Bombyx mori: one gene and its partners. The main gene of each other region encodes a partner of the protein of the gene in region 2 in a complex. Links are inferred from orthologs where the notes say so. Each region holds a gene or a part of one and is shown on either strand. Other genes may lie near its edges.

Evidence for each region. Proteins that work in one complex are often made in the same cells at the same time.
Region 1: A-kinase anchor protein 17A (region 2) and uncharacterized protein LOC778507 share a complex: the UniProt entries of both Homo sapiens proteins name them as parts of the spliceosome. The link is inferred for Bombyx mori from reciprocal best matches to the Homo sapiens genes AKAP17A and C9orf78.
Region 3: A-kinase anchor protein 17A (region 2) and nuclear inhibitor of protein phosphatase 1 share a complex: the UniProt entries of both Homo sapiens proteins name them as parts of the spliceosome. The link is inferred for Bombyx mori from reciprocal best matches to the Homo sapiens genes AKAP17A and PPP1R8.

Annotation. Positions count from the first base shown.
Region 1 is NC_085120.1:2,479,738-2,484,006, forward strand, and holds the start of uncharacterized protein LOC778507, read right to left. Parts: upstream 2,829-4,269; coding exon 2,633-2,828; intron 141-2,632; coding exon 1-140. UniProt on the Homo sapiens protein: Plays a role in pre-mRNA splicing by promoting usage of the upstream 3'-splice site at alternative NAGNAG splice sites; these are sites featuring alternative acceptor motifs separated by only a few nucleotides. May also modulate exon inclusion events.
Region 2 is NC_085127.1:13,381,301-13,384,723, forward strand, and holds part of A-kinase anchor protein 17A, read right to left. Parts: intron 2,742-3,423; coding exon 2,658-2,741; intron 1,633-2,657; coding exon 1,479-1,632; intron 1-1,478. UniProt on the Homo sapiens protein: Splice factor regulating alternative splice site selection for certain mRNA precursors. Mediates regulation of pre-mRNA splicing in a PKA-dependent manner.
Region 3 is NC_085126.1:4,081,501-4,085,516, reverse strand, and holds the start of nuclear inhibitor of protein phosphatase 1, read right to left. Parts: upstream 2,829-4,016; 5' UTR 2,694-2,828; coding exon 2,665-2,693; intron 2,271-2,664; coding exon 2,056-2,270; intron 1,432-2,055; coding exon 1,323-1,431; intron 497-1,322; coding exon 394-496; intron 1-393. UniProt on the Homo sapiens protein: Inhibitor subunit of the major nuclear protein phosphatase-1 (PP-1). It has RNA-binding activity but does not cleave RNA and may target PP-1 to RNA-associated substrates. May also be involved in pre-mRNA splicing.

The DNA.
Region 1 (4,269 bases), on a different chromosome or scaffold from region 2:
ATTAGAAAGCATTTCTTCTGACCTCTGATTTGAAGAGACTCTCAAATGGTCTGGCAAGGAAAGTAAGGCTGCTTCCTCGGGAGACAAATACTTTAGTGTTTCTGTATGGTTGTGGTCTTTATTGTCTTTGTCACATCCCTCTGGAATTTACAAAGCACAAGTTAATTTTATATTAGTATCTAAACGATTATAAATAATACTATCAGCTATGTAGGGACCTAAATTTTTATTTTTTATTGCTTCGATGGGTGGACATGCTCACAGCCCACCTGGTGTTAAGTGGTTACTGGAGCCCATAGACATCCACAACATAAATGCGCCACCCAACTTGAGATATAAGTTCTAAGGTCTCAAGTATAGTTACAACAGCTGCCTCACCCTTCAAACCGAAACGCATTACTGCTTCACGGCAGAAATAGGCAGAGTGGTGGTACCTACCTGCGCGGACTCACAAGAGGTCCTACCACCAATAACAAACTATACAATCTATTTACCATTTCAAGTTTCCAATCAACATATCTTTGTGCATTTATTTACTGAGTAACCCAAGTTATGTGCATGTAACACACATTTTTTTTCATGGGTATGCTTCCAACTAATTATTTTGATGTGATATAAATATAAAGTATCAATAAGCTTTTTTTTTTTTTTTTTTATTGCTTTTATGGGTGGACGAGCTCACAGCCCACCTGGTGTTAAGTGGTTACTGGAGCCCATAGACATCTACAACGTAAATGCGCCACCCACCATGAGATATAAGTTCTAAGGTCTCAGTATAGTTACAACGGCTACCCCACCCTTCGAACCGAAACGCATTACTGCTTCACGGCGGAAATAGGCGGGGTGGTGGTACCTACCCGTGCGGACTCCCAAGAGGTCCTACCACCAGTGATTACGCAAATTATAATTTTGCGGGTTTGATTTTTATTACACGATGTTATTCCTTCACCGTGGAAGTCAATCGTGAACATTTCTTGAGTACGTATTTCATTAGAAAAATTGGTACCCGCCTGCGGGATTCGAACACCGGTGCATCGCTACACACGAATGCACCGGACGTCTTATCCTTTAGGCCACGACGACTTCAAAAGAAATTATTAATATCTGCAGTCAATAAAAACAGTATCACAGAGGTTAGCCCTCTTCACACTTATGCATAAAACCTGCTCCAAATATTGCACCCAAAGATACAAAACAACTAACTTATACTATCTTAATATCATACAACCTGTAAAAACAATAATTTTCATTTAAGCATACATGATATTTCTAAGAGGCATGTATGTCTAAACGTTGTTTAAGTTGGGATGTGGGTGTCTCTGTAGGGTATGTGCAATTCAATTGAGTGTATAATATACTTACTACAGTATTTACAATACAATATTTTTTACAGATTCGGACCAAATATAGAATCTTAGTGAGTGGTATTTTACATAATTGATACTAGATTTTCATTTAAGCAGCAATATTAACAAGTTTATTAAGTCTGTTTTTTTCTTCTTTTTTTTTTCTTCTTCCTATATAAACCATTCAAGATGCAATGAAACTTGGTATAGTTGTTATTGGTACTTTTGGGAGTGTTGTTATCATAATACCATGAGAATAGTTTAGCAAATAAGTGCTTATGCAGCTTAATGTAATATATGCTTAGGTGTTAGTAATATTAGTAATATCAAAATATACATATAATCCCATCTAGACACTGGTCACAACCACTACCTACAAAAAAAAAACAAATTTACATGAGTTCTAGGAAAACATGTAGATACTGTTTATTTAATGATCTTGTAATGGATCTATAAAATTAGTAATTGATTATGATGTGACAGAACCTCAAGGATGTGATATGGAAAATGCAAATACTATTTTATTGATTGATTTTAAATTTCAGTCTTGAAATAAAAAACCATTAAATTACAGTGGACCCCCTGTAATCCGACAAACGTTTTGTAAGGCAGTGTCAAACTACCTATTACATTTGTCGAATTATACAAGTACTGCCTAAGACCCCCTTTAGTCCAGATTTTTTTACAAAAGAGTACTTTATAATCCAATAAATTACAGATCCAGTAATAAGATTCTGTATGTTATATTCTGAAATGCAAATCATACTTCATTATGTATATTGAATTTAGTAAATTAAAAAATACAAGAGAAACCTTACGTTTTATTATAAAATTAACGTCAGTAATACTTTAAAACTTACAAAAAATACTTTACGAATGCCATGACGACTTTTGAAACTTTCTAGCCACCCCTTGCTGGCCATAAGCATCTTTTATTTTATTTAAGTACTTTAAAAAACTTAAGCTTTCATGGTCAAGATGGAGCCTGAAATGGGCGCATGCCTATTTGTTATCAGTAGTCGAATTCAAACTAACCTATCAAAACCAAAACAATACCTAAGCGTCTAGTACAATAGTGATGGCGCATACCAGTTGTAACCTGTTCAATCATGCATTATCTAAGTACATTAGCGAAGACTGTCAAAAAATATTCAATAATAATAGACATTTCGGATTACAAGGGGTGCCAGATTAGACAGCGGCAGGATTACCGGGGGTCCACTGTTTAAGCAAAATGTAAATTTTTATGTTTGGAAGCTCGTTAAATATTTTCAAGTAGAACTAACCTTTTCTTTTTGCAAGTTGTTCTTCGATGTACTTCATCATCTCCTCATCTTCGTCGCGTTTGTTCGTTTCCGCTGAAAATTGTGTGCCTATTCCGGTATCATACGCATCATCCACCTGCTTCAGTTTCCCGTTCTTAAGGGCTTGCATGTTAATCATCCCGCCAGTTTTAACTTTAAAAGGATCTTTACAAGTCATTTCATCTTCCAACGTTACTTTCTCGCCGGTTGCCAGGGCTATGATGCTCACCCCATTAGGTCTTTCTCGAAGTTTCTGAATTTCTTTTGTTTCTTGAAGTCTTTGCAAAATGTGCTCCTCATCATCAGAGTCTTCATCTTTGATACGCGTACGAAGATTTCTAGGCTTCTTAGATTTCAATTTAATTTCTTCGACTTGTCGATTTTCTTGAGAATCTGAATCTGCCATATTCATTATTTATGTTTGATCTTTTTACCATAGATAACTTATTTCCCTTTTTTAAAGAATGACTGCTTGCAATGTCATTGTTGCCAGTGTTGAGTTAATAAAAATCTCTAGATAAAATATACTTAAAATAAATTTTACTCTTTGAGAATAATGATTTGGAGAAGAATGAGATGAAATTTATTTATTTTATACTGTAATTATGATGAAATTAAATTAAATAAGATGCTTTAAAATATACTGTAGTCTCAGTAAAATTACAAAAATTTACTTAGATACATTCATTATATGAAAGGAAAAATTACATTTATTTATTGCATAGACGTCTGAACGAGCTCAAGGCCCAACTTCAATAAAGTGATTACCAGAGCTAGTACACATCTACAACGAGAGGTCACCTACCGCTAATTGTAGAATATAACAATTCGTTCATTTAACAAACCAGAACGTAGAACTACTTGGCGACCTAAATACTGAGATAGTGCCTATGAGGGCTCACATTAGGTAGTTATTTCATCCACTGCCAAGCTGTCATGCGTTCCAGTTTGAAGAGTAAGATGACCATTATACAACATAATTTAGATTTCTACCTCATGTCTCAAGGTATATCTCATAGCTTTCTCACTCTGATCTCTATTAGCTTTGATATCACTCAATACAAGGTACGCCATAAACTACTTTAAAGACCAATCAACAGTAATATACGTAGGATGTAATGAAACCCAAGGGAGTTGCTGGTCTCCAACCGTGCGCCTCCGTGAGAGGCGGATAATGGCAGCTTTTGGTCATCATTCCCAGAGATATGATCGCACCGATGCGGACCAAAACCAGCACGAAGTCGAGTAGGAGGGCCGTGCTCTCAATGCTCTTCATTTGATGAAGAGTGCTCCACTTAGAGAGTGAGCCTCCCGATGGCACCGATGGTTTGCCGGCGTACCGTGTGCAGTGGTACTCTGTGTTACTTGTGTTAGTAGTGAGCCGGTGCTACTTTTGCATCTTCCTGTCGCTAGTTGTTATGTTCCCGACTTCAACTACATAGTAACGCCCTCCAAAGGGAGGTACCGGTTTGCCAGCGTGGCTTCGAGATTGCTCGTTAGAGTATCGGGCCGTGATCAGCCGTGCTGCTCTTTGTACTCGGCGGGTTGCCGGCCAACCCGTAATCTTCACCGAATGGAGACGGTTGCTGTTGTCGCAAGTTACGAGGCCGCAAGTACGT
Region 2 (3,423 bases):
CTCTGTCGCGGCGTTAAGGCTAACGCACGCTAATTACGCGTTCAGTTTGACGAAGCCTTTAGCCGAGTTCCGACGATACCGCGATCGTGCTGCCATCTCTCGGGAATCATGCTGTGTTTGCAGCTACCAAACTAATGACCGTCTCCGACATATTATACTTCACTAGCTGACCCGGTAGACTTCGTAATTCCTCAATCGATAAATAAAATCGGTCCAGCCGTTTTCGAGTTTTAGCGAGACTAACGAACAGCAATTATTTTTTATATATATAGATTAGTGGAACCTGGTCACGTTCGGCGAGCTGTCACTAAGTTTTCAGAGCCCCCGCGCGCCACCTGTTGTACGACGTGATTCTATAGCAAACAACATCCCTGAAGTGTCAACGGTAACTGGACAGTGTTACAACACAATCTAACATTACGTCACGAACAAATTGACACACAAAATATTTGTTTTGACGAATATGTGCTGTAGTGGCTACAAAATAAGGCACAATATTGTGCGAGTATTCAGTGGAGGAACCCCCTCGACCAGCTCCTAAAGACATGACGTAGTCCAATGTGAAGTTCCATTAAAGCGTGGAACAGAGAGATACACATATCCATCTTTCCTCAGTTATTACAATTTTCCCACACTGCATCCACTCTGAATTTCGATACGAAAAGTGAGATGATCATTTGCAATCTGGACCTAGAGTCCATCAGTAAGTATCTACAGTCGGCATCAATGCGCCACTTCGATAAAGCGGCACGACACGAGAATCCTCTCCGGAAACTACATAGCTGATCCTGCGGACCAAATGGTTAACAGTTGACGTCGCCCAAAACACGTCATTTCGGATCCTCCCGATCCACTAACGATGCTTTTAGGTACCTCAAGCACCGGTCACCGTCCTCGTCGAACACGTCGCTTGCGGCTATGGATCTGTAGATGTCTATGGGCTCCAGTAACCACTTAACACCAGGTGGGCTGTGAGCTCGTCCACCCATCTAAGCAATAAAAAAAATTAAAAAAAAACTCGACGAGTAAATTAACCCATAGACAGCCCACTGAGTTTCTCGCCGGATCTTCTCAGTGAGTCGCGTTTCCGATCCGGTAGTAGATTCTGCACGGCTCCTGCTAGGGTTCGTGTTAGCAACGTCGTCAGGTTTGAGCCCCGCGAGCTCACCTACTAGTTAAGGTTACGCTGAAATAGCCTCTCAAGGCTATCTGCTTCTTCTTCTTCTTTGTGGCTTCCTTATTACTGAGGGTCGTGACCACCTTGGTCCAGTTTTTACACCAACTCCAATAACTTTCTCCAATGATTTGGCCTAGGGGGGCTAAATCCCTTCTAAAAAGTTTTGGGACGGAAAGGAATGGGAAGATACCGTTACTATTTTTCCCAAGAAAACCACCATGAGAAAAGTCAAAAGGAAGTTTAGCTCAGCTAGGTACGAATGAAAAAAATGGCATTAACCCCCGGGCGGCTCGATACAGACCTGTAGTACTGCGCGGTGGCGTCCGGTCCGTCGAAGTACGGCATCCGCGGCCGCGCCCCCCCGCGCCCCCGCACGCCGCGCCCGCGCCCCCGCGCCCCGCCCGCGCGCCGCGCCCACTCCGCAGGGTACGCCGCGCGGGGGTAGTACATTGAACCTACGCACATTTATCACACATTAATAACAAGCGAATCAATTCCAAAAAATATATTAAATTCGGTCTGTTTGTTAATAGGCACTGTGATTCCTAATAATGCTATGTTTACAAAAAATAATAATTAGCTTATTTTATGTATGTGATCAGAATTACTGATCACCTCACATCCCAAGGTCACAATACATCCGGACTCGCGGTTTTGTTGAGTTAGTCACCACAGGAGACCTACAAAAGCATGAAATAAAGACTGGAAAATACATTTGTTCAATAATTCATTAACTAAGTCCGCTTTCTTTGGGAAGTTTTTTTTTTAAATATCTTTCTTAAAATATTTTACCATGAGTATTATTATATAAATTATGTGGTGCAGTTCCCAGATTATTTTTAATCATAATAATAGTTGTTATAAAAAGAAGTTAGATAACACAATAGAAAAGTATCGAGGTATAGCAAGTAATTGTCACATAAGGTTGAAGGATACCTTAATCTGACTCACGACAGTCTTCACTGGACTCCTTGGAATTTTTCCATACTCCTGAACTTTGCCAGAGGCCAGGTTATCGTTACCTTCAGGGATATAAGATTCAAGTTCCAAACAGTAACATTCAGTTGGTCTACGGAGCAGTTTCAGTCCATTCCAGTATAACATTTTGTTTCAATAGTCAATGTATTATTGTTTTTCTTGTGAGTCCGCACGGGTAGGTACTACCACCCAGCCTAATTATGCCGTGAAGCAGTAATGCGTTTCGGTTTGAAGGGTGAGGCAGCCGTTGTACTATTAAAATGTGAGACCTTACAACTCATGTCTCGATGTGGGTGGCGGCATTTACGTTGTAGATGTCTATGGGCTCCGGTAACCACTTAACATAGTATGGGCCGTCGTCCACCCATCTAAGCAATAAAAAATTTAATTAAAAAGTAAATCAGTCTCTTGCACCAACAGAACACACATCTCTTAACTAATTGACTGAGTGCAGTTGTTTGTTTACAAAGATTAGTGTGAAATAATGTTGTGATACTCATACTTTGCGGTCCATAGGCATATCCTGGCGGCATGAACGCCGGGTACCCGAAGCTGTAAGGGTTCGCCATCCCGTACATCGCAGGAACTGAAATCATATTCAAAAATTATTATTTAGCAATTAAAACAAACCGGACTTCAAGCTTCTCTGACAAGTTTTTTTTTATTGCCCTTGTAGGCAGACGAGCATACAGCCCACATGATGGTGATTTTTTACCGTCGCCCATGGACGTCAGCAATGCCAGGGGCAGAGCCAAGCTGCTGTCTACCGCTTAATACTCTCCACAAGCCTCGTTTGGAGAAGGACATGTCATAGCGCTCGGGAAACACCGTGGAGGGGAGTTCATTCCATAGCCGGATGGTACGTGGCAAAAAAGACCTCTGGAAACGCACTGTCGATGAACGCAGCGGTTCCAGATAATATGGATGAACTTTGCTCCGATGGCGGGAGGTGCGATGATAGAAAGGAGATGAGGGGATCATCTCAAACAATTCCTCAGAGCACTCTTTCATTTCGGTTTAAATACAACGTCTTAAAATTTTATACAATTTTATTGAAGTAGATGACCGTAAGATTCGTTGTGTTACACATACATAAATATATTTGGTTTTTAGTTACTGTCCACTACACAAAATTAATAGCTCTAGTCCAGTTTTTCCCAACATGGGGCCCAAGTCCCACAAGGCGGCAATTTGATAATTAAGGGGGCCAATTCCACTAACTTAATATAGAAAATCTGTATTAAAATTATTTTGAATTTGAATACATT
Region 3 (4,016 bases), on a different chromosome or scaffold from region 2:
ACATTTCCTTAGTAGCAGTATTCTAAGCTTATTGCCATACCGACAAGGGCTCCAAAGCATGAAATCGAGAAAGGAGTATTGAAGTCAAATCGAAATCTAACTCAATAATACACATAAATGTAGGATTGGTAAGAACGGAACGTATGAAAAGAGTGTGGAACGGAGCGTTAAGATGTGAGTGAGAGAAAACGGAAAGAAAGGGAGAAGAGAATGACAGATAGAATGACAGAGAATTTGAAGATGGCGAAGACGTTTGAAAAATGAGTAAGACATAATAAAATTAGTGTTAATTATTAATTACTATTATAATAGAAGATTTTGGAATAGTATAACTTTTATTTTATGCGCTGCGATCCCTTTTCTACATAAATTATACTAAGAACAAAATCTTACATCTAGTTCGGTTTGTGTTTCAGGCAGGCCGAGCAATGCTCCTTCAGTTTCTGTATTAGGGAGATCCTCCATTATACCACGCGATGTCCCAGTCGGGCGTTCTCTGTGAACCATTGATACATTAATTAAAAGACACTTCATAATTCAGAATCCATGAACAGAATAAATCATATCGTCTTCTCGCATTAAAACTGTATTATCTCAAAACTTACTAATTTTATAGGAGAGTGTTTTAAAGGTTTAACAGGTTATATTTTTAATATTAATCATCTTTGCAACATTATTTTTTATTTTGTACCAGTTACGTTATCTGTCTTTTAAAGTATGATAAAATTGTGTACATATTAATTTTGTTAATATTTAGTAATGACAATTTAAGTAAACCAACAAAAAAAGGAAACCAAAACTAAACTACGCTGTTTTAACAGTATTTATGAGAAAAATACTGGTGATACCAAATGATTTCGCATATTAACTCAATTTTGAATATTTTTGTAAATTGTACACTTTTAATGCATACAGACGATATATCCATTGCAGACATATTGGAACGGCTTATGGACTATAAGCTGTTCGGTTTCAAAATGGCTTATTCGTTTGCTCATCTAATTCTAATTTCCTCATATTTTGAGCCCACACAATACACCACTTTCTGCCTGTTCCTGTTACAAAAGTTTCATGCATTTCAGTTTTCAGGGGTGGGTCAAGTTATACAGCTCTATTAAGATTAACTGTAGAGTATTGATGAGGGTTCTCATACATATAATATACATATTATTATTCTCCTATGTATAGAAAGGTCAAATTAAATGTAGGTTTACAAAATATACACATGACTGAAATGTTACTCAACATGTCTGCTTAAGCTTATAAATAGTTAGTTAATTTTAATTTATGTTTCTAAAAAGTAATATTTTTTTTGTACTTGCCTTATAATATAATTCCTGGTTGAAGCTCCAAAATGAAAATTAGAATCGATCGGTAATTGTGTTGGTTTGTTTGATTCTAAGCGCATTTTTCCAATATAAGTGCCATGAGCTAAAAAGTTTGTTATGATTTATAGTTCTACAACAAATTATAAGGGAGTGTTGTGAAACACGTAGACAGGTGAACAAACTCAGGGCCATCTAGTTTTAAGTGATTAGCCTAGTACATAGACATAAAAATACTAATAGCACGTATCCTTTATGCATGGAGCAAATGTTTAAATTTTTACTACAAAAGAACACTCAATCTCATAAAACTAGAAGCCGTGACTGCATTCTTGTAAAAAAATATGACACCGACATGTATGGGATTGTAATAAGCCCTCCTACCACTCATGGTACTTAACTCATAGTAGTTTAAGAAGTAATGTCAAATGATTGATTACATCTTTTCTGATTCATTTTTTTTCTTTTTATTTATTAATCTTAGTGAATGAGAAATCAAAGGTTATAAAACTTGAAGCTTCTCACCAAAACATTTATATTGTCAGAGTAAATTTAATTCACTTTTAACTTAATATCCTACAATTTAACACCTAATTTCAGCCCAAGTGAGCAAACATGACATAAAATTATGGGCCTTCATTCAATTAGTTCAAGAAACATTTTTTTTTGCATAGATACCCATATTTGTGATACAAATTCTTATTCATAAAATTATTACGACCATACTCACTACTACCGAGGTCGACTAAAAATGATCTATTCAAATGTTTGTGGTAGACCAGAGCAGCGTGCACCCTAGAGCAGCTAGCATGATCAATGCAGAAGTCATTCATTTGAGGATTCCGTCCAAATAAATAACATTTTTTCTCGTCTATCATTAGTTTCTGAATTAATTTATCTCCTTTTAGAACGTCTAAGTGGAGTCCGGTTGGCGGCTTACCAGCCCTAAAAAGATAATCAATATTAATTATTGGTTTTTATCAATATTAATTTTTGTATTCCACTCAAAATATCATTTAGATAATATCCACTTTTCTAGTATCATATTTCAGTACCTTCCTAATCTTTGAGTAGCAGATGACTTTTAAAGTAAAATTAAAAACTGTATCTATATATTGATAGTACATGCAGTAGTGCTACATTAATTATAAGATAAAATGTTCTATTCATTTGTAACTGATACACTGCTAAACTGCCATATTATTGTTATCAATTATATAGGTTATTTTCTACAAAGACAAAACTAATGAATACATTTTTATTTGAATGCACATCAGGAATTCATTAAAATAAGTAACCCGGCGTCATTATTTTATGGTTATGTTGCTTTTATACATACCAATTGGGCACTTCATAGTGATTTGCCATTATAATTAAAATTTATAACATTATTAACCAGTTTTCAATTATTTACTAGATTAATGGTTGTGTGAAAAAATAAGGTAATGAATGCACCAGTAAAACACTTTTGGCTTGATTTGTGGACCTTTGACAGATGTCTGTAAGTAATAGTAGTTTTATTTTTCCAACTGAAAAGGCAAAGGTATCATACCATACATCCTAATCTTTTATATTTTTTTTTATATATGAAAATGATATCATGAAATGACATGAAGTTGATTAATATGAAACATGGCATGAAATGAAATGAAAACGAAATGGAATGAATGGGATGAGATGATATGGGATGAAACATAATCTCGATAAAATGGTGGTCATATAACGAGAAATATAATGAGGTGGCTATCATGAGCGCACGCTTACTAGAGTGCGCTATGGTAATGATTGCACACGGGTGCTACCTGAGCTAGAGACGCCTTTTTTTGAGGCAGCCATATTTCCTGTAAATCACTGTTTTTTTGGAAGTCAGCAAAATTAAATGTAGAATACTATTAGAATAGAATAGAATTAGAATATTTAAGAAATTATCACGTTATATCACTTTTACTTTTCTACGGAAATTCAAAAATGTTTTCTTCATCATCAGCCTGCGGCAGTCCACTGCTGGACATAGGCCTCCCCCAAAGCTCGCCACTGAACCCGATCTTCGGTTCTACGCATCCAGTTACTGCCAGAAATGTTTTCTATTAGTATTTAATCGAAATAATTCTGATTGACTCAGTTGTGCTAAGGGTCGTGGGTTCGCTTCCCACATCGCGCAAAAATATTGTGTAATGAACAGGTTTGTTCATTATCTAGCTATGTATAGATTTAAACATATTTAAGTATGTTTATCAGTTTCTGGTACCCATAACACAGGAAATTCTAAATTGGGACCAAACAACCGTGCGTGATCTGTTCCCAGTTATAATTTTTATTTAATCAACTTTGGTCCAAATGATATATTGTATGGGATATAGTCCCGTTGCCTATTCAATAGACGAATAGACATCTAAAGTCTATAGTAAGTGTATTATCTATGAAAACTTCGGCCTTAATGAAATTTTTATTTCAGGAAGAAATTATAAAGGACTTAGCTTTGGCCTTAATGACATTTTTATTTCAGGATATATTAATATATATCATATAAGACCTGACTTCGGCTTTTTTGAAAAATTATTTCAGAGAATATATAGAGCAGACAAGGCTGTATGGGCTTAGAACCCCTTGCCTTTCCTAACAACGAAAAAATGTACCAAAAAAAAAAATTCTATGAAAAAGAGTTCACCGAACAAAACAAATAAAAATTAT